Drosophila melanogaster: one gene and its partners. The protein of the gene in region 2 purifies or fractionates together with the protein of the main gene of each other region. This does not show direct contact. Each region holds a gene or a part of one and is shown on either strand. Other genes may lie near its edges. The genes, in order: mei-38, CG16863 and Rab8.

Region 1 (8,494 bases), on a different chromosome or scaffold from region 2:
GAACTCGCGGTTGCAGGCCGCGTTCTCGATCCGCTCCATGACCCGGCCAACCAGCAGCTCCACGGCCTCCTTGACGTTGGCGCCGGTGCAGGCGCTCGTCTCGATGTACGGCAGCCGGTAGCGTCGGCAGAGGGCCGCCACCTGGTCGCGACTCACCACGCGCAGCTGCAGCAGGTCGCACTTGTTGCCGCAGAGGACCACGTCGGGGTCCTCGGAGTAGGCGTGCGTCCGCAGCTGCGACAGCCAGTTGGCCGTCTCCAGGAAGCTCTTCTCGCTGGTCAGGTCGAAGATGAGCAGGAAACCCATGGCGTCGCGGTAAAACGCCGTGGTTAGTGAACGGAAGCGCTCCTGTCCGGCGGTGTCCCAGATCTGCAGGTGGATGCGGTGGCGGCGTCCGCGGGAGTTGTACAGCTGAAGGATGCAAAAAAAAGTGATGGGTCACTAGGGTTCGGAAATGATAGTGATGTGGTTGCAAAATCCTCGTGACTCTCAAACCGACTTCACTAGGATTGTGTTGGCTATGTTAGGTGAGTCCCATGAAAAGGATCACAGGATGATTAGCCGCTTGAACTTACCAGCCGCTTTTCGCGGAAGTCGATGCCCACAGTGGAGATGAACTGGGTGTGGAACCGGCCATCCGTGTACTGGTAGAGGAGACAGGTCTTTCCCACGCCGGAGTCGCCCAGGACGAGGAACTTGAGCAGGTAATCGTAGTCGATGTTGGCGCCCGTCATAATGGCCGTTCGTAGCAGCGCGTTTGGAACGTTCAGGACCGCAGACGCATCCCGTCCGCCTGGAAGCAGGGAAACGAATGAGCTGCCCGTTCCTGTACAGCTCTCCCAAGCAATGGTTGTCCCCCAGCTACCAGCTTCCTGCCTCCTGCCCCTGCTGTCTATCCACTCGCCACTCTTCCTCCTCTTTTGTGTAAGACCGGGCTTAGGCTGACAGGAGCGGAGGCGGGGCACTCTAATCGGGAGGCATCTTCGTGAGCGTGGCTCCCACCCACTGCCAGCTGCCACCCCCATAATGCGACCCACTTACCCACACCACACCATCTCGCTGCACCGTGGCAAATATTTGAAACTCATTAAATCCCGATTTATTGATTTTCTGTCCCGTTCCGGGCGAAATTCGGGCGTGTGGAGTGGGTTCGATGGGTCGCGATGGCGGGGAATCCCTTTCGCCCGCTTCCGCATCAATGGACAAGCCGATCGAGATTTCGAGCATTCCCGCTGGAAGCGGCGCCCAACGGTATGTCGCTCGGCAGAACAGAGAGAGATGACAAGGGGCAGTAGAAAAGTGGAAAGTGGCTGGAGCATAGGAAGGCTAACCCCGCCCCTGCCCCGCTAATTAGACCAACGGCCAACGCTCAAAATGACGCGATGCGGTGGGCAGGAGGAGAGAACGTGCAGCATCTCTGCACCCTGGCTTCCTTCCCGCGCTAAGCGGATTACGGTCGCTGCCTGCGGTTGAAGTGGTTGCTAGACAACGGGGCCTCCGTCACTGGAAAGTAACAACAGAGATCGAAGTAATAACTGGGACCGCGCTCCCAGTGCGCCTTCTGCGCATCCCGAATCCGGCAGCACTCAATGGAATCCTGCCTGCTGATGTCTTGTAATCTAATTTCCTCCCGTTTCCGGCAGCTGTCTCACGTCTCCGGCCCCTATTTCCGAATCCGCTGCCTCGCAGAGGGAGCACGCATAGGTTACAGTCGTCTGCTGCTCGCCAAGTCTCCCAGGGGGAGATGGTAGGCGGGTGGACAGTGGTTGGTGGGCAAATCGAATTAGCATGCACGCACAGCCATAGCCATCCCACTCGGCTGACGGTTAATTTTAAACCTTTATTGATTCGCAAGATCTTGCGGGGCTCAGGTGGGCCTAGCGACGGAAATAGCCTCCCGTTTCCGGGGGTGGTGTTCAACATGAGGGGGGTGGGCTAAGGCGAGTGATGGCAATTAGGAGCAAACCACAAGGCCTCCACTCAAGGACGTCCTCCCAGCTTCCTTCCGCCCTTTCAGCGCGTCCAGCTGCACTAGGACAAGGACGGCTTCCAATTAAAGCTAGACCGCAGTGCCGTAATTAGCTGCAGCTGCCGCGTTTCTGCCGAGCGATTAAACATAGCCACCGCCACCTTAGCCCCTTAGTTCCTCAGCTCACCTGTTCACCGGATCCGGCTAATTGCAGAGGCTCAGGCTCAGGAGGCGCGGCACGCATTTCTGCTCCGACGCCCGCCGTCGACTTTGGCGCCCAAGGCGGCTTCTTTCGGCACGCCGCACGCCACTCGTCACTCCAAGGATCTGGAAGGAATCTGCGATTCAGCTGACTGGACCAGACTGACTGGGCGGGCAACCGTTATTTTTAGCGCGCGCAATTCGTCCGCGCGGGGGAAGGGACCTTCAACCACCTTGCAGAGGTTTGCTAAACGAAAACAAGCGACCCACGAGGACTTCGAAAACTCCGAGGCTGTGCGGATGCTGCGGATGCAACGCAGTGGATCCTCTGGGCGGTGCGCTGCCCGACCTGTTGCCATGCGCTGCCCAGCACAGACTACAGGGCTCGTTGGCCGCCAACAGGCAGTCCCTTTTCCGAGGCTCAGCTTTCAGCCAAAGCTTGCGCCAGCTTTCAAGCGCTTCCGCGCGCGACAGGTGCGCCGCACAGGTGTCCTTTCCCACGGGAACGTGGTTATTTCGTGAGTACTTCGAAGCACTCTCGAGACATAATCCCTCGGGCAACTTTAAGAATGGAACGGCTTTGGACGGAGCTTCCGCGGGACGGCGCCTAAGCTTTGCTCTCCGACGAAGGCTTCAAAGTCAGGAGTGTATCCCGTGCTCGAATAGTCCACTGTTTCTATAATCCTAGTGTTCAGCAATCAAATTTCGTGTTACTAAATAACACTGAGCCACATTTTTCAGTAAATTGAAGTTTGCGCGCGCAGAGCTATCGATAAGTATCGCGAGATAAACCAGTGCTGTAAAGCGCCGCCATTTAATTGCACTTATCGAGTTTCTTGCGGGCTCGGGATTTGCTTTGTTTTTTTTTTTTGAATCGGTGCGGAAACTTCTCGGTTGAGGTTTTATTCTCTATTTACTGGCCATGGACAACGCAAGCTCAACTTTTGGCCAGTCGGACTTCGACTGGGACGCCATCAACGTGGGTGACTACCAGTTGGATCACTCCCAGAACTTTTTCGGTGCGTATCCAGGCCACCGCGTCCAAGCTGAGAAAACGCGCCATTTTTGGCCGACCATTGCTGACCATTTCCCGCATTTCCCAGCAGCACGGGCCAACAAGGAGAACAACAGGAGCCTCAGCAATGTTAACCCCCTCCTGCTGTGCACCACTCCGCAGAAGATCGGCCGGGAACAGCGCGATGGTGACTTCGATGGCAAGCTGATTAGTGCTGGGGATCTCAAGAAGGAGTCCCCCAAAGACACGACAGAGGCGTCCAAGGATGCACTCACTATCAAGCCCAAAGTTGAGCCCCACGATGTGCCAGAACTCAAGTTGAAAACAGAGCTCCAGGAGCTGGCTCAAGTGTCCCCACTTGACAACGGCCCAGAGCCGCAGGACGACATCAAACAAATTGTTCCGCTCAACTGGGGCAAGGATGGGGACGATGATGAGAAGCACATGACGGAGGCCGATCAGCACTTGGTCCACCAGGAACGTCCTCCCGGCGTCGGGGCCAAGCTCCGCCTGGAGTGGTCACCCCCACGCCACCGCGAGCACGAGGGAGCCGGCGCCTCTGCCACATCCGCCGCCCCCAAGGCATACCAGTTCAAGGACGTGTACGAGAGCAAGCGGCAGCAGGCGATGCGCAAGCGCTCCGAGGAGGAAAGCAAGGCGCGCCAGTTCCACAGCCGACCCATGCCCAACTTTAAGGCCATGCACAAGCGCATGAACGAGCTGGCAGTCATCCACAAAATCACCGTCCCGCGCACGCCCGAGACGCTCAAGCACAGCCAGTCGAACGTGGAGCGGCGTCGCGACGACGATCCGGCCGACCAGGCGCGACTGCATCCGGCTGGTACCCGCTCCAGACCCTTCCACCTGCGCAGCGAGCAGCGCGTGCGCGACCGACGCGAGTTCGACGCCGCCGTGCAGGTCAGCCTGGAGCAGAAGAAGAAGGAGGTAAAGACTAAATCTAGTAGCCCTTAAGCATTGGTTCCGAACACAAGCAGATAATTTTCGAGCTCAGGGCCGGAATTTCATTTATGTGATTTATGTGATGTGTGCTGCTGGTTTAGGTGGTTTCTTAGCAACTGACCGTGTGTTTAGTCATTAACTTGAAGAGGCTTAGTTGTTCCTACATTTTTTCAGAATATATTGTTTAATCCAATGTAATAAACCATTTGCAAATGACCCCCCTTCGAGGGCTCAGTGTAAGCACCGTTCGTTAAGTTCAAAAAGTGCGTTCCCACCGCCACGGGGAGTTTTCCAACACCAGCGCGCCGGCATTTAGCTGCGATCCGCGAGCGGCCACACTGCGCTCGAAAAATAACGTATTTCTCCAAGTATTGCTGCCAGCCCCAAAACCTCTCCTGTGCCCAAACACGAGACCCAAATTCAAGGGCCGTACGGCAACTATCCAAGAACGCCCCAGTTCTCCAGTGCAGCAGCCCCAGGTCGGGAATCCGACGCTCGACAAACAATAACACGGGCGGTGGGCAGAGCGAGACGGAGCGAGCTCAGTTTGTTTTTGTTGCTGTGGTGTGAGTGAGTCATGACGTTTCGGACGGCGTAGAAAAGCCAGTTACAGTCAACCGTCGAACATTGCATAAAGCGGGAGCTGTTGCCCTGCATTCCGGAACCAGGATCCGCCAGTCGCCCCACTTCCTCACCGTTTGCCAGGACCTGCAACAGCTGCGCCCAGTCCGCACACACCGAAGCACGCACGTACACACACACACACATTTCTGGAGGAGCTGTGGCACCGAGTGTCACACCATACACACACGGCGCGAGCGCACGCACACCACTGCAGCAGGCAGTCTGTCGTCACAGTTGGCTACATTTCGACTCGGATTCGGACTCGGATCGAGCTAGCTGAGCAGCAACTTTCGCCGCACTCGAATCGAAGTTAAGCCCAAACCAAAAGCAAAAGCCAAACCCAAGCCGAGCCCAAGCGCCTATTATCGTCATGGTGGACCGTCTGGTCAACTCGGAGGCCAACACGCGCCGCATCGCCTCCGTGGAGAACTGCTTCGGGAGCTCGGGCGTGCCGCTGGCGATGCAAGGTCGCGTTCTGGTGGGCGAGGGCGTGCTGACCAAGATGTGTCGCAAGCGGCCCAAGTCGCGCCAGTTCTTCCTGTTCAACGACATCCTGGTGTACGGAAACATAGTGATTGGCAAGAAGAAGTACAACAAGCAGCATATCATGCCGCTGGAGGAGGTCTCGCTGGAATCGATTGCCGACAACCAGACGTACAGAAACGGCTGGTACATCCGCACCACCACCAAGTCGTTTGTGGTGTTTGCGGCCACCAGCACCGAGAAGCAGGAGTGGATGGCTCACATCAACAAGTGCGTGGAGGACCTGCTGCGCAAGAGCGGCAAGAAGCCGGTGGAGAACCACGCCGCCGTTTGGGTGCCCGACACCGACGCCAGCGTCTGCATGCACTGCAAGAAGACGCAGTTTACTTTCATCCAGCGCCGGCATCACTGCCGCAACTGCGGCGCTGTTGTCTGCGCCGGCTGCTCGGCCAAGAAGTTCCTGCTTCCGCAGCAGAGCACCAAGGCGTTGCGCGTCTGTGACGCCTGCTACGAGCGCTTGAAGCACGTGCCAAGTTCCCTTGGCTCTGGCGAGGACTCGGCAGCGGCTACCGGCGCTGCCTCCGGCAACAAGCTCAACACAACAGCCGGCGACAGCTCCAACGATGAGGACTCCGACGAGGAGACTGCCTCCCCTGGTGGCGAGTCGCACGATGAGCCGCGCTTCTACGGGGACAACAGCGTGCTATCCGCCGTCGAAGACTCCTCGACGATAACCTCGCCCTCCTCCGCCACCACTGGCAGCTTGGAGGCTCCCCAGGTGACACCGAGCGTCCAAAGCTCCCCGGCTGCCGTTGCGACGACGGGCAGCCACTGTTGAACGGACCACATAGCGAATGATTATGATTATGGTAGATATCGCAGAAAAGCTCTCACCCACCCACAACGCATATCCCGATACCTTGTAGACACGAATCGCGGTGTGACGAAGTCTCCTTGAACATGCCCAACATAGCCACTGTACATTTGAACAACCGACGATTCCCGTCATCTTCATTGCAAGACCTTCGGACCCAATTTCGGATCTTTCATTATACCTATGCGTTAGATAAAGGACGTGCAAAATTTGAGGCTTATCGAGTTCTAAGTTGGGAGAGTCTAGAATAGAACGTTGCTCGTGACTGCGACCTTGCAGTGGCTCCGTTTTGGTTTTTTATTCTTCTCGTTTTACATTTTCCGCGAATTCCGCTGAGCGCGATAGCCTTATCAGCCAAGTGGCTGCGACGGTTGCTGCTGCTCTATTATTCGTTGGCAAACAAACGGTCTGATGATGTGAGATGTTTCCCATATCTGCTCACAAGCAGCCCAGCCCTGCCCTACCCAGCCCAGTCCAAATGCCGGCTTATCGTTCTGAAACTCCCGTCGTGACTCAGCGGTACAGAGCAGCCGATAGGGTTAGATGGCCATTGAGAGCCCATTTTTGCCTCCGGGCGTTGAATGAGTCAGGCGGACAGTCATCCATGCATCTCTCCGAGTGGCCAGAGACAAAGGTTGCGTACGCCAGGTTCAGTCGCAATTAGAATGCACTACAGCAGCAATCAACACATACTCATCACCTTTCCACTGCACCAGACCGCCGACGACCAATGTGTACATTTCAATGCTAATCCGTGTTCCTTTCCGCCTTTGCCATTGCAGCAAGACGAACAACGGAAGCGATGCGAGCAGGAGGAGATTAAGGAGCTGCGCAAGATGACGGCATTCAAGGCTCGTCCGAATCCATTTAAATAGTGCTCGACGGAACCAATCGACTACCAAACGTTTGATAGCCCTGTCCAAATTTAAATGAAGTGAAGTCGATGCTACACATAATCGTGTTTACCGATGCATAGTTTTACCAGATTAACACAATTTTTGTCTCTTAACATTAACATTACTTTTACGCATATATCGTTCCCGTTTTTGGCGGATAAGAACCACTAAAATCGTATGTTTGGCGAGAGGATAAACTATATGGATATGTATACAACATAAGCAATTTGCAATTGCGATCATTAACTGTTTTCTATTTGTACAAAGCCCAAAAAACAATAAATTAATACTGTAAATTGAACAAGACTGCCATTCGTATGCATGGATAATGCATATGTATGTACATACATATGTACATATGTTCATACATATGTACATATGTTCATACATATGTACATATGTTCATACATATATCGTCCGCCCTTCTCTGCAGCCAGAATGGAATGCAACAGCGAGAGCTGCCTGTCTCCCTCTAATCTGGGCGGGGATCCGTAAGAAAATTTGTCTCATTTCTTTTGAATGGTTCCTATTTTCTCAGAATTTCTGGCACTCACAGTAGAGCCCAGCTATGGAAATGCGTTAGATCGCTTCGATACTAGTAAATATATCGTGCATAATAAGGTGGAAGCACGTGATATTGGGCTACGCTATGCAGAAAAAAAAAACGAGGTGTTTAGATATAAACAGCTGTTTATTTATGCCGTTGAAAAGGCTCCTGACAAAACGCTGTGCTGATGTAGTGCCATCTGTGGCCCGGACGATTCCTTAGAACTGGCCGTCGCTACCCCAGGAGGTCTTGACGGTGTCCTCGTTCCAGTCCTCCACTCCGCCAACGGTCTCGGCGGCAACCTCATCGGCCCAGTTGGTGGTCTCCTCGACCGGGTGGTCGACGGCCTCCTCAATCTTGGGTGGCGGCAACAGCTCCTTGGCGGCGGCCTCCTCCTTCTCGGCCTCCTCGGGATCGCGGTAGAAGAACAGATCGACGACTACGGGCCACTCGACGCTGCGAGAGATGGTGCCACGCAGGCGGAGCACTTCGCGGGCCAACAGCCACCACATCAGACCGATAGAGTGGGCCGACTTGTTGTTGCACGGAATGGCAATGTCGATGTAGCGCAGAGGCGAGTCGGTGTTCGTGAAGGCAATCACGGGGATGTTCACGTAGCTGGCCTCCATGATGGGCTGGTGATCGGTGTTGGGGTCGGTCACCACCAGCAGACGCGGCTCGCGGAAAGCGGGCTGGATCTGGTTGGTGAAGGCACCGGGCGTGAAGCGGCCGGCGATCGGAGTGGTGTCGGTGTACTTGGCGAACTTCAGCACCGCGCGCTGGCCGATCGGACGCGACGAGATGACGAAGATCTGCAAAATAAGTGTGTATTAGAATATGGTGTATCTATCAGAGACTGGGGGCAAACACTCCGAGGCGTTGAGGCGTGGCTGGTCAGCAGTGAAGTTGAAATCATTGAATTTCA
Region 2 (6,516 bases):
CTCATTGTAGGCAGCTGAAAAACGTAACTGTCATTATTTTCGCGCAATGATAATTAGACGGTTTGGAGGAGTGGAATTTTATGTTGGACCTTATCGTATCGTACTGTAAATGATTCATACAATTTTTTCCCATCCGATAAGAAATATTTTATGAACTTAATTACGTTTCTTGAAAATATTGAAAAATAGTTAAATCTAAGCGAGTTAAGTAGAATAATAAGCAACTTCAGCTTAACAAGAAACATCTGTTTATCAAACTTTCTCCACCGAGTGCCACGCACCTGATATGATCTCCGCCAGCAGTTCCGAGGCAATTACTTCGTCGGAATCCCGCAGCGACTCCTCTCCCGAGCCATTGCAATCCTCCGAGTGGATGCTGCCGTTGGTGGGATTGGAATTGGGAGGTGGTAGCTCGTACACTTGATTCTCCATGCGGGCAAATATCACGTTCAACATTTGGGTGAGCGTAGCGCGTGCTGTGGTCTGATTGACCAGGTTCTTGCTGGACAAATAGATGTCGTAGCAGGTGCGCACAGCTTGCAGCAGTGTGAATTCATGGATTTCCACATGCTGCGAGGTGACCACCGTGAGCAGAGCCTTTATTATCTGCAGTTGGACGGCCTCGTCCGTCTGGGGACCACTGAAGCAGCCATATATGGTCACAACGATACGGTCGATGAGCAGGTGACCCGGATTGGCCGAGTCCTGAATGGATCCTGTCAAATGGCCATAGGCAATGAGTTTCTGCAGGCAGTCCAGTGCGGTGACCACGATCCTGGGCGAGCGGCTCTTGCAGGCAAGCTCGAAGGGGAGAAAGTAGGTCTCCGCATTTATGATGCTCGCTGCATCATTCTTGGGCAGCGGGAGTGCGGCACAGGGCAGCTCATTGCCCTCTGCGATCTGGCCGGCACTGATTAGCTCCGCCTTAATCTGCTCCAGCGCCGAATCGCAGGACTTCTTCAGCTGCGAGTGATGGGAGCGCCGTATGTCCTTATCGGCAAGGATCTTTTCTAGAGCACGCACGATGAACATTTCCTTGGTTTTTGTGGAGTTGTTGTGCATATTGGGCCGCTGCCACTCCCAAGGTCGCCTTCGCTGGGTGGGTTTCGATGCCTCTTTCCCTACTACCACTGCTTCGGATTTCCCTCTGCCCACCGCTTCCGGAAACAACAGCCACGCAACTTTCGCCTGCTGCCTTCTGGGTGCTCCGCCAGCTGTGCGGAGTGCTCCTCTCGGTTGGATTGTCGTGTGGCGGCACTCGGTGAGTTTTTAGCGTGTCGTGGATGTTTGCATGTTGCAAATCTCTCAGTTTTTCCACATTTACATTCCCTTCAAAATACGAAAAAACGTCATCAGAAGTGTGACCGTGTAAGCGAAAATTACTGAGCTGTCGGCAGTGTTGGGAAGTTTTTGGTATTCTCTCGGTTTTGGTATTTTTGCTAATTTGCTGGTGTTATTGTTATTTGAATTTGTAACGGCGATTTGTGATAACAAAAGAAAAAAGTAAACAATAAAGTTATATTTAAAATAAATTATTTGTGTAAATATGTGTAGTAAATAGTACTTACAAATCTTTAATGAATATGTGTTCGTTATTCGTTCCCTACCTCTAATTTTCTAATACAAAAATAGTTCCTTAACGCTTGAGAAGCTAAAAAGTTAAAAAATGTATTTTATAGTTCGCATTATTGTAAATGTAAATTAATAAATTAGTTAATAAAAGGGGTACAAAAACACAGTGCTCAACTTAGGTTTGGATTGATTATGGACTACGCTATAACTGCCACTCCTTCGTTGGAATTTCCGCCATGAAGAGTATGTTTTCCATGTTGTTTTCGATTAGTCTGGCGTACTGCGCCGCAACCGCCGCTCCTTCGGCCGTAAATAGCCGATCCGCCGGCTCTGCGGTGGCCGGAACGTGCAGGTACCTCTGTGCTACGTTGTGCAGGAAGGGGTGAGCTTCGGCCAGTTCCTCCCAGAGCTGAAAGGGATCGGCTCGCAGGGTACTCATGCCGGCGCAAAAGTATCTGGCTATCTCATCGTCCGCCTCGGGACCGTTGCTGCCGTTTACAATCCTTTGCTTCCCATGCGAAAAGGATTTGAATGCCGCCCAGATATCGTAGTGATCACGGTTCTCCGGATGCTTTGCAACAGCTTGCTCCCCGCTGTCCACATGCGCCTGCATCATGTCATAGAGTTGAGTCATGTACTGGGCCACCAGGGCCCCACTCCGGAAGGGAATATTTCGAAAGCGTGGGTCCAGCAGACTTGCCAATGCCAGGTGCAAGTTGCGCTCCATTCGTTCGAAGATCTCCTCCAGCTGCTGAACCAGGAACAAGCGTATTTCCCTGGCAACCATGTGTTCCGCACTCTTCTCCTGCTTCAGTTCGTTGATCAGAGTTTGGGCAATGGGCAGGGCTGTGCTGGCCGCCGGATATGGTGTTCGACTTAGCTCACGCATGGAGCTGGTCAACGGCCTCAGCACGTCCAGCAATTGCTGACACAAATCCACCTCCGATGTCGAAAGCGGCAGCGGCTCTTGAACGAGAGTCTGTTTCAGGTATAAGTCTAGCATATTGTACACACTAATCGGTCGGTGTATGGAATCCAGTTGGGGATTCAGCTGCAATGTGGACTGCACATGGGAACGCACCTTGTCGCGCAAATGACGTATTTCTGGGCGCTGCACCACCTCCTCTAAAATAGAATTCAATTGGTCTGCGAAGCAGGGAACATGATGATGAGCGCCCATGAACGATGTCACCGCATCCTCCAGTAGTTGACTGCTCCTTGTCGACACGCAGCAGATCCTTGACTTTGGAATGTCGAAGCGCTGACACACTTGGTCCATGCGATCCACCAGATCGTTGGAGGTGAAAAGATCGGGAAGGCGCAGCACAGAAAGAGTTCGGGAGATTCGTTGCCGCCCCTCGTGAAAGTGGGCCACCAGCTCCATCCAGCTTCGACTCTCCGCATTCGTGTGCACCGAGCAACTTAGGCTGAGTGTCGAGATGTCGGCCAACTGCTGGCAGAGCTTGGACCTCTGCGCTTCCGACTCCCTGCAGATAATGGCCTCCAGTTTCGCCGCACTCGGTGGTCTGTAGGTGGGGCACAGTACTTTCACTAGGTGCTGGAATCCCTCGCCCTGCACAATCTGCAATGACTGGCGGTCACGGCAGACAAAGAAGGCAATGTCCTTGTGAAACGGACTCTCGCTCGGCAGAGGTTCTTCCATTTTTAAGTTGCTGGGTAATAAATGAAGTTTACTACAATTGTATCTATCTTCTACCTTCTATCTTTTGATTAAAACTTACTCATGGCCGGCAAATGGTACAGCATGAATTTGGGGAAGTGGGCTTTTCTCCGACTCATCGAGCTCCTCCTTGGGTTCGAATTCGATGATATCGTCGCCGCCAACCGTCTCCGTTCGGGACACTGTGGCCTCCGGAGAGACCCACGCATACCCGACGCTCTTTGTTGAGATGCGATCCTCAGCAGCCGCCTTGATCATTCCTTGATCATCCAGCTCGATAATGCCGCTCGCATCCTTGGCAGCCTTGAACAACAGCTCGCTGTGGAAATCAGAGCTCTCTTCCTTGAAGGGAACAACCTTCCGGAATCGCAGCTTGTCATCCTGCTCCCGCCGCTTGTATATGCCCCGCTCCACCACCACATCGTCGTCGAAGAGGTTTCTTCAAGAAAATTTTCATTGTGAAAGGTTTTTGAACTCAGGAGCCTTTCCTACATCTGCGGATGGGTCTTCATGTGCTTCATCAGATTGGACGTGTTGCCGCTTGTCTTGATTACTTTCTCGCAGAGCTGGCACTGCGCGGAATTCCGATCCAACTTGTCGTAGAACTTCCATATTCTGCTACGCGACATATTCGGCATAAACGATAAATTAACGACGAAAAAAATGAATATTTTGTAAATAACGCTACATTAGTGTGGCCAAGTGGGAGATTTTTTGAGAATTTGACATTTCCATTAGCGCCTAAGTCGTCCAAGTAATAATAGTTTTATATTTATTTTTCTCATAATTAAATATTCAATAGTCAAGCTGGATAAAAAAATTACATTATGTATTACTTTTAATTCTTGAATGAATCGTTAAATTCCAAATATAGATCGTTTAAAGTTCCTTTTGGTATTATTATGAGTGGTATTTTAAAAATACTAAGGCGGGAGATTTTAAATTAAAAAAAAAAAAAAACGGGAGAATGCTATAGTCGAGTTCCCCGTCAATCAGATACCTGTTCCTCTACCAATAGAAGGGTATAAAACTGTTTTTAACTTCTTTTGAATTATGATAATTTACCTTAATCCCATAATCAATGCACATCAAATATTATGTAGAAATATTTATTATAATATAAATAAAAAATATTATTTATTTGTCGTACTAGTTATATCTTACTTTTATATTTTAGTTTTATATACCCATGTCGAAGGTGTTTGTTTGGTTTTATTAGTCCCTAAATACATTAAGTAGATTATTCCCACCGGATAGAGATTCATAAAAGTTCCATATTTGAGGGAAATAATGAAATGTACGACGCCCGTCTTCTGCTTATCTTACTTGATACTCCGACACTCCGACTATCTGGCCTAAACGTAGCTGCATTCCGGCCTGCGTTGCACGGAGGTTTGACGTGACGTCGATTGTGATTTCGCCTCTCTCTCGAACTTGAGGAAAATATCCTCGAGTGTGCACTCGTTCACCGAATAGTCGGCCACGAGAGCGCTTAAGCGATCGCCCAGATATTCCTCAGCTATCTTGAAAACACTTGACCAAAGGACCACACTCTCCTGCGTGCTAACAAAGTAGGTGAGTGTGCCGGCATGGCTCTCGCGCAGTTCCAGACCAGGAAACTCTGACTTCAACGTGCCAGTGATCGTGGACACATTCATCTCCGTTTCGGTGTCCGCCTTCATTTTCAGTTTTATCGTGAAGCCGCTTAATCGCTTAAGGGCGCAAATATTGTTCAGACACTTGAACTTTCCGTGCGCCATGATGGCCAAGCGATTGCACAGCTCTTCGCACTCGTCCATGCTGTTTGTAGAGAATGTGTACACTTTTGAATCTGTTTGAAAAGGAAATATACTTTTTTGGGCTTACCTATGTGATGTGAGCACCACTGTTCGATCCTTTCCCTGGAAATCCTTGATGCATTGCCAAAGAAATCGTCTCGAGATGGGATCCACACCGGTGGTAGGTTCGTCCAGGAGCACCAGTGCGGGTGCACCAATCATGGCCATTGCCGCCAGAAGCTTGCGTTTCGTGCCGCCCGAATAGTGGCGCACTTGCACCTTTTGATATTTGGTCAAATGCATCTTCTCTAGCCAGTACTTCACGTGCTCCTTGCAGCTGGCTGGTCCATCGGTCCTTCGGCGGCTCAGGCCGCGCAGCAATGCCATGTAGTATAGGCACTGCTCGGCGGTCATGAATTTATTTAGTGCATCGTACTGAGGGCAGTAGCCAAAGTATTCCCGGTATTTCAACTCATGCTCGCGAATGTCTGCGCCTTTGATGCGGATAGTGCCACCATCTAGAGGCAAATTGGCCGCTATCATCTGAAAGGTACTTGTCTTACCCGCTCCGTTAACACCCAACAGACCAAAGCATTCACCCTGGGCAGCCGCAAAGCTGACTCCGTCCACAGCCAGCTTATCGCCGTATCGCTTGCGAAGATTGTGCACAATCAGTGAATGGTCGTTCAATGGGTCTTTTATCAGATCGGTAACCCGTTTTTCCTCCCTTGCACAATCATCAATTTCTGAGATCGGAGTACTGGGAAGGGTGCCTGTCGAATTGTATTTCTTTCTTTGGAATGCCCATTCCCAGATGCCATCATGAATTCGTCTGCGCAGATACTTGTGTTCCAGGACTATGGTAAAGAATGCCATGACCATAACACCCACGGCGGTGGCATAGGCAAAGAAGGTGTCCTGGCTGATAAGACCCTTTATAAGTGCCGGATGGCGTCGGGTTATAAAGTTTTCATTGATGATGCGAAACTGGTGATTAAGATTGAAGTCCGGTAGGAAGCAGAGGAAGGCGATCTTGGTCTCATGCAGTTTCATGGCCGCCGCATTGCTGGAGGTGATAAGTGGGGCAATGGCTAAAAGAAAATGGGTTTTATAGTTTTTCTAATTGTTGTCACTGGTTATAAAATCAAATAATATTACCGGACACAATCAGCATCAAAAGCAAATAAGTAGATATCGTGGATATCGACTTAAAGTTGTTTCCCAGGGCGTATAGAATGGGCAGGTAGCTGCAGCCGTAGAAAAATATGCTTAACACAATGACCTTAAGTTCAGCCGTTGTATACAGCTCCGAGGGCATCATCAAGGATTGCAGACTGAACAGGGCAACGCAGACGAAGATCAGGATCAGCATATCAAAAGTAAAATGCGCAAACCAATAAGTAAATCGCGACATGGTCTGCAGCTGTTTGAATCCATTGGCATATTCCCGAAACGGCAATGAGATGAAATAGAACATGAAGAAGA
Region 3 (7,940 bases), on a different chromosome or scaffold from region 2:
TGTAGCACTTAGCATTAAGCACGGTAAAGTTTAAGCGAGCGCTTAAATATTTAGAAAGGATGGACTTAGAACCGTATTTTTAAATTTTGTATAAAGTCTGGACTTTACATTTCTTAGGTGTTTCAACTCTTTATTAAACAAAGGAGGTTTAAGGATTGCCGGATAGTACATCGGAACACAAGAGTCAAAAACGATTTAATTGCGGTATAAAACATATTAATGGCATCCGTCATTATGTTGCAAGAGTAAGGATCGGACCAATTAAAGCCAGCTATAAAATTGTTTGCCTTGCGAAAACAGTGAATTCGCTTGGTTGACTTCTCCGATTTTACTTTTAATACGGTACGGTGTCGATTGTCACCTCGAAAGTAGGATGATATGGATCTTCAGGTTGAGTAAGATGTGCTACCCTGGACAGAAACACACTTTCAGGACTTGTTACAAGACATAGATCCAACAGTCGACCAAGAGAGTTTCGAATATAATTAACTTGCAACAACGATAAGTCGAGCATAAAGTCATGTTGTGCTAAAGGGAGAAGAATATTCGATTGTTCTTCTGGGACCACATTATGCCAGGTATATTAAAATCATCTAGAACTACCAATTGGTCCCTGTCAGACAGTTTATTTGAGATGGATTGGATAGCGGACAAAGTATTCAGATATTCTGGGAATTCAGAAGATAGCGGAATATACGAGCACATAATATAAACTGATCTGTCGGAAAATGACAGTTTTACGCATATGATTTCTGAGTTATGGGATTCGTCAAAAAGTAACTCTTCCAACGGGAGGGTAGATCTAACCCGTTCCCATTTGGAGGGACGGTCATAATGTGTACATATGTACGTGGGAAGACTTCGGAGTTAAATCCCCGGCTTTAAACAAGTCTCTGAACACTATTATACGGGATGCAAAGGAAAGGCTATTACAATACAATTTGGTTAGTTTGCTACGCAAGCCTCTAGCATTTTGATAGGAAGTAGTAAGATTAGTTAGTTTTTAGTTTAGTTTTAGATTTTTGAAGAAGATGAAGAGGCGGAGGGTGCAGTGGTCTGGCCATGTGAGGGATGTTTAATTCCCACGGGCTCTTTTTACAATTTTTAATTAGCTTAGCTTCGAACTCTTTTACCACCATATAATAAGAACTTTACGGGACTTTTCTTTAATTTTCCACACAGATATATAAATTTATGATGCCCCATAATGCAACATGATGTCTCGTCGGTATGTCAACGATTAAGCTATGATTCATATTCATAATCCTCTCCATCCGACTTGGGTCATTGGACATGATCCAGATCATTTAAGAGTAATCCCTGATCGAACCCTGAGCGAATAGACTTACCCACAAACTGGTATTGGATTTCTTAAGGTCCTCTCAAGTGTACCTGGGAAACCCAGTGCATTGCAGCATGGACATTTTGTATAAGTTGATAGTCCTCAGCCCATACTCTACAATGCTCCACAGCACAATCTGTCTACGCGACTTTGGGTCCGACGCGTCGAACTCGCCTGTCTCTGTTATGACAGAAGCTCAGCGCTACGAAACGAGCCATAAAATCTTTTCAAATAAAAAGTTTTTGGTTTTGCACATGATTTATTTTTATAAAATTGTATACGTTTAATCATTAATATTACAAGTAATTAATTAATATCAAATATGCAATTAGTTATCATTTAATTTCACATTATTTATATTACTGCGCTGTGTATGTGTTCATAATTGTTTATTGCTGCCGATCGATTCTCATCGATAGACTACCTTTAATTGGTGATATCTCGCAAATCTGCAAATCTTCGTTAATGTTTTAATATTAGGTGTAACGTTTTATTGACAAAGTCATGTGGTGTGCGGCAAAGAACAAAATAAATAGAGTACGAACTAACCAAATGAAATGTGTGTGAAGATTAAGAAGAATATAATAAGCACCCTCGATCTGTGCGATACTACCACATTATATTATATAAAGTTAGGACCGGGTAGGGGGAGGTGCGGGGCGGATTGGGCTGTTTTACACTTTTGGGTCATTGTGCGTCTGGACCTCCTCCGTCGTATTCCCAACGTAATGGCAAAAGGGTTTCTGAATCGATCGAAAGTACATACAAGCAATGAGCAAAACAAGGACAGGTAAACTAATCATATGCATACATAGTACATACAATATATTTGTTTTACAATTAATAATTTACAAATCGACAACCATGGCTGCTAGAGAAAATCATAATTCCGTAAATACTAAAACCTCTTCGAGAAGGACGCGGGCGGGTTGGATTGGCTGCTCTTCGATTTTCGCTATCGCTGGATCGTTTTATCTTTAAACTTGAGTTATATACGTATATATGTATACATATTATCATGCCTAGGTATATTTCGTACACGCTGTCGTCATATACTTTATTTAATAACTGTTTCATAATGCAATTTGTGTTCTATTCCATTATCGCGCTTATTCGGTTAAAGGGAGCCGGCTGCTGATTGATGTTTAAGGTTGATTTAGATGTCAGTTAATGTCCGCTTGTCGGGGTCCCGCTTGTACTCGAACCTAACAGGAGTTAAGAAAACTACTACCTCGTAGTTACCACCATAAACCACTACCGTGTAGTCGTTGCCACCATGCCGCTTCAGTGCCGAGCGCACGTTGCCACGTCAAAGCAGACTGCACCTGGACAACCAACTGTCCTTCGTCCGACTGTCCATCGGTTTCAGCTGATGGCCGCCCTTGGGTGGGTTGTTCGCCTCCTGCGCACACAAAGGATGTAAATGGTTAGCCACAGTAAAAAAAACGCTTTGTCCGAGTCTCGCCACCCGCACACTCACCATTCGCTTTTCCGTTTTCGCTTTGATATCACTGGCTAGGGTGAGGAAGGCTTCTTCCACGTTAATGCTGGCCTTCGCGGAGGTCTCCATGAACTTGATGCCATACTCGATGGCCAATTGTTCGCCGCGCTCTTTTGAAACCTACAACGGGTGGAAAATTGTTTAATTATCGGCCTTAAGGGCAGATAGCTTTATGAAGCTGAAAAGAATATTGCGCCAAATCATTGTCTATCCCTTATTGGATTTAATAACAAATGATTATACACTAACTGAATTTGAAATATATAAATAAAATGTTTGTAGATAACTTTTATGGAACAAACAAATAAACGAACTTGGAGGAATAGCCAGCGAAATCACCAATTTCTTTTTTCCATACCTGTCGCTTATCGGTCAATTCGCACTTGTTTCCCAGCAGCATTTTCTCGACATCGGCGGACGCATTTTCCTCGATATTCCTGATCCAGTTTTTGATGTTCTCGAAGGACTTTTCTTGGGTTATGTCATATACCAGCATGATGCCCATGGCACCTCTGTAATAGGCCGTGGTGATTGTGCGAAAACGCTCCTGGCCGGCAGTGTCCCTGGAAAATGAATGGAGATATAGGTAATTAGAGAATACAGATGAATCGCCTAGTACTTACCATATCTGCAGCTTAATCTTCTTGTTATCTAATTCAATTGTTCTAATTTTAAAATCGATACCTGAAAAGAGAAAACAGATGAGCATATACACACATGTACGTTTGCTAATTAATTTAAATAATTTGGCAAGAGGCTAAACCTGTTTGGTCGGAACCCATGACATCGCAGCTAAAATAAGAGACGAAGAGAACCGAAATCCACAAACCACGCAATTAATTTAAACAATGTCGTTAAGTAAATGCCCCAAAATTGGAAGTGTCGCGATGAAAACGTGCCAAAAACGAAAATAAACAATTATTAGCCACGAGCAGAAATGGGAATCGCTCTACTTTTGTGTTTACAAGTACGGGAAAGTACAGTGTGCATGTCGAATATTATTGTGATTATTATTTTAATAAGCTTAAAATTACTAGCATAATCTGATTTAACTGCCACTTGAAGTTGTACTGATTATGATTCGAATTTATTAAAAAGTATTTGCTGTGTTTGGTAGAAAGGCTTCACTGTACTCGTACGGGAACAACTACTTGAATTCCCTCTGAGACTGGGCATGGGCCTGCTGGGTATATAATAGGGCATTCCCGATTTGGCGTGCGACGGTCAAGTCTCGCATCGGAACAATCCGGCTTCTGGGGCGATAAGAGCAGCGAAAGTACAAAGACTATGGGTACTCGGACTGAGTACTCATTTCTGATCGCTTTCCTATGCGGGTGTGAATCTCAGGGCGAGATAAGGCATCCGGATATATTCCTTACGGGAAAATCTTAATAAGCGCGAGAAATCAAACATGGTGGGAGTGCCCCTCCCATGGAAACAACAATATTTATGACAAATGCGCCCGGATGGGGCAGGAAATAAAAAAGAAAAGAGGCATTTAATGAGTCACTGGGCCAGAAGCTCGGATTTCCAATTGCGAATGAGTTCATGCGAACGAAGGTGTTATAATTAATAACCAAAAAAAAAAAAAAATTAAGAATCGGAAGACACGGTAAACGCGGATGATGACACTCACCTATTGTGGATATAAACGTTGTGTTGAAGGCGTCCTCAGAGAATCGGAAGAGGATGCAGGTCTTGCCCACTCCGGAGTCACCGATCAGGAGCAGTTTGAACAGATAGTCGTAGGTTTTGGCCATTTTGTGTGCTTTTGCGGTAGGATCACAGTATCTGGCCCGATAATAGTGCTTAGCTGGGGGTTAGGGTACGGGTTAAGGGTGATGATGCTCTGTACACGTCGTCGTCTCCTTAATCAACTGACTGACTTCCTCTCCGATTCTTGGCTAATAACACTAATCACGATTATGCCCCATGCGTGCCGTTTAGCGTATGTATGTACATATACACTATACCCAGACGTAACCGCACTAATCCACAATCTAATTGAATCGACTCGAATCGAAAACGTATAGTTTTTTCCTTCTCTCCGCAGCGCAGCTCTTTTTCTCTTGGGTGTGTGTGTTGTGTTTTCGATTTCGGAGCCGTGTCAAAAATGGCGACGTAGATTTAAGACCTTTTTGTTGTCTGTGCCCGAGTTTCGGATTTCGTGCGGCGGCTTTTCCGGTGGGCAAATGCAAAGGCGCTCGCTACGCGGTGCGAGTCTACGTTGGTTTGTTGTGAAAATTACGTGGAAATGAAGTTAATTACTGCTTTCTAATTACGCCCGTACAAAAAATATGAGTTTCGATAATTCGTTGCTGCGCAACACTGGCGCGCCGTCGTCTATCGATAGCTTATCGTACGATGGGGAAAACAGCTGTTTCCAGTTAGTGTTGGAAAGTGCGCGAATATAGAAAGAAACAGAGGAAAATAGCACAAGACAAGAGTCAAAAAGACAGGTGTATATTATATATTCATACACATATATCGTCGTGATCCTGCACCTGATCCTCGCCAGCAGCCTATTGTTCCGCCCGCGACTGTGAAGTGAAGTTGAACAAATGTGAAAAGTGGCGTCGCCAGACGCAGCAGCAGGCGGAGCCCCAGAATCCATTGAGTTGCACCCCCGCAAACAAGAAATTCTGGACCATGGGCACCAAGGAGTCCAAGCACTCCAATAGCGTCAGCTACGAGGATTCGGTGAAACGCGGTGAGTCTCCTCCGGCTGGTTACTTGTGGGGCCGTCTCCCAGCCGCAGAAAATAGGTCACTGCCAATCAAGAAAACAGAACCCCCTGCGAAAGCAACAACAACGTACAAGCAGGTGCAATCGATTCCATTGTGTTGTTGCGCCCACGTCTTCTGACCAACGGGAATCACCACTGACTTCCGCCACCACCATCCTCATGCTCCTCTTAATCCTATCTCTTGCAATTATCTACTGCCATTCCAGTGTGGCTTCTTTATTGCATGTGTTTTCATGTGCATGGGTATTTGCGTCTCCGCCGCCAATGACGTCACAATAGAAAAGCTAACCGAATGGGGTGGCAGTTGGAGGTGTGCGCTGTGTGGGTGAGAGACAACAAAGCAGCGAAGGCACATGAGAAACAGTTAGACAGCCAGTGGAGTGCAGTTCACGCTTAGGGTGACTGGAATGCGCGGATGCGGATGTCGCTGCGAATACGATTCATTTCAAGTTCAGCATGTCATTCCAGTGTTCATTTCAATTCGCACTCTATGGGCAAAGGTCTTCTGTTGAAGTATTTTATAAAGAAGCCTACTTTAAAATTTTTTTGTTTATAATGAAATGAAATTATAATGAAAGGGGAGCATTTTGGATTTCGATTTTCCAATTGGAATATCCATAAGAAAAATGTTTTAAAATAAATAATTCATTGGGCTTTTAATTCTGCATGTCATTTCCTTATTTCTTAAAATTCCTCTTTAAGTGGAATATGTTCAGATAGGAAAAGGAATTACTGTGTTTAAAACAAGCTGATAAGCCAAAAAAATAGAAATTTATTTACAAAGTATGAAAATCGGAATGTTCACTCTTCTCCAAATATTTTATAATAATGAACCAGCAATAAAATTGGTAATCATTCAGAAGAGTTAAGATTATTTAAGCCAACTTGTATACCCATTTTCGGCCCACTTTCAATGACGTTTAGCTTCCCTTAGTGCTTTTCACTTACTTTATTCCGCCTTCCCTTTGCGCTGGCAATCATCTAAATGCTGGTGTTGTTATGGTTATGGTTGCTGATTTGTGGCCAGGCGGCCCAGCCAGAGTTAAGAAAACGAGTGTCGCTGATAAGGCTCACTCCCCCGGAACACCAGCACTCCGGACCACCCCTCCACCACCCACCATCACTGGTGTGGGGCGTGCGACCGGGTGCGTGTGTTTCTTATTAGCCACTCCAACCGGTTCCAGTAAAACCAAGGGGGAAGTGAGGACTAGCATGCAAGTATGTGCGCGGTGGTCAATAATCGCAGACTCGAGTTGCAGTTAACATTCAATAAAATGCCGTTTCCGTGACGTCGCATAATTCGCCTGCAATATTGCCCAATCAACTTGGGAATGTATTTTCACGCCCGGTTTGGCGGTTATCAGTTGGCTCTGGGTTCTCAACCTGATCGTTGAAATTAAAATGGTTTATTTATTGTCAATTTAATTGCGCTTCTTGTGGCCTTTTATTTCCGACATTAAATAATCAACGTTATGAATTATAACGTTATGAACGGGGCATGAATGAAAATGGTTAAATAGGGAACATGTAGTACATTTAAGATGAAGTAACATGAATTAGCATACTATTGAGAATGCGCAACGATATTAACAAGAACATTTTGTTTCGTTTCTTATCATTTTCTGACTTAAGTGCTAAACGATTTTAAACTGTCGTATGTTATGCTGCTTTGATTCCACGGGAAATGATTCACAATTATTAAACAAATAAAATTAACTTTGTGTGGCGGACTTCGGGATACCCTCTTCATTTTTTAACTTATATATAATTTATCGTTTTAGGGCAAGAAATATTAGTTAAATTTTTTTTATTTGTTGATCATATGAAAACAGTCCTAAAATATAATTAATATAATTAATAATTATCGTTAAAGAACATAATATTCATGTTACCTTCTATTGGTTTGTGGGTAACCTTTTTGCACTTCAGGTAATTAGTGAAAAATCAATTACTGATAATGGTTAATTAGGTAACAACGAATCTAATACCATATGTAATGGAATTGGTAAATGAGCTCGGAAATAATGTTTATTGATATTATTATAATGTATATTATTAAACAATTAGAGCGAATGTATTTGAATTGGGTTTCCATACTGGAACATGTGTTCCCAATAATCAGTTTGTTATTGACAGCACGTCGGTTAGTGTGAAATCGAGGTCGTAAATCGCATCAAATGAGGGGGTTACCCGGCATACCGGCTATTAATTAAAGGCACATGGGATAATCCCTAACGCAGCATTACTCATTCACCGATTTTTTATTCCAGTAAGCGACGTAGAGCTTCGCCGCCTGAGAGATGCCTTCAAAAAGTCAGCGGGCGTGGGCAGGAACTTCCTCAGTCGGAATG

Evidence for each region.
Region 1: the proteins of CG16863 (region 2) and mei-38 purify together in Drosophila melanogaster (affinity purification with mass spectrometry, with the first as the bait; one large-scale study listed by BioGRID). This does not show direct contact.
Region 3: the proteins of CG16863 (region 2) and Rab8 purify together in Drosophila melanogaster (affinity purification with mass spectrometry, with the first as the bait; one large-scale study listed by BioGRID). This does not show direct contact.

The regions. Positions count from the first base shown.
Region 1 is NC_004354.4:1,474,100-1,482,593, forward strand, and holds mei-38 (meiotic 38), read left to right. Parts: upstream 1-2,963; 5' UTR 2,964-3,092; coding exon 3,093-3,189; intron 3,190-3,273; coding exon of another isoform or gene 3,274-3,276; coding exon 3,277-4,130; coding exon of another isoform or gene 4,131-4,157; exon of another isoform or gene 4,158-4,383; intron 4,384-4,452; exon of another isoform or gene 4,453-5,139; coding exon of another isoform or gene 5,140-6,090; exon of another isoform or gene 6,091-6,760; intron 6,761-6,908; coding exon 6,909-7,001; 3' UTR 7,002-7,321; downstream 7,322-8,494. Other genes in the region: Rab27, read right to left, coding at 1-411, 576-695, 2,157-2,213; rush hour, read left to right, coding at 5,140-6,090; sta (stubarista), read right to left, coding at 7,788-8,381.
Region 2 is NT_033779.5:13,788,394-13,794,909, reverse strand, and holds CG16863 (uncharacterized protein), read right to left. Parts: upstream 3,952-6,516; 5' UTR 3,883-3,951; coding exon 3,746-3,882; exon of another isoform or gene 3,693-3,745; coding exon 3,315-3,692; intron 3,246-3,314; coding exon 1,775-3,245; 3' UTR 1,646-1,774; downstream 1-1,645. Other genes in the region: Sec71 (secretory 71), read right to left, coding at 1-14, 282-1,062; Eato (engulfment ABC transporter in the ovary), read right to left, coding at 4,609-5,053, 5,120-6,122, 6,190-6,516.
Region 3 is NT_037436.4:19,865,902-19,873,841, forward strand, and holds Rab8 (Rab8), read right to left. Parts: upstream 5,178-7,940; 5' UTR 4,604-5,177; coding exon 4,480-4,603; intron 3,658-4,479; exon of another isoform or gene 3,626-3,657; coding exon of another isoform or gene 3,607-3,625; intron 3,528-3,606; coding exon 3,467-3,527; intron 3,407-3,466; coding exon 3,202-3,406; intron 2,964-3,201; coding exon 2,823-2,963; intron 2,745-2,822; coding exon 2,652-2,744; 3' UTR 1,587-2,651; downstream 1-1,586. Other genes in the region: Usp32 (ubiquitin specific protease 32), read left to right, coding at 5,493-5,553, 7,860-7,940.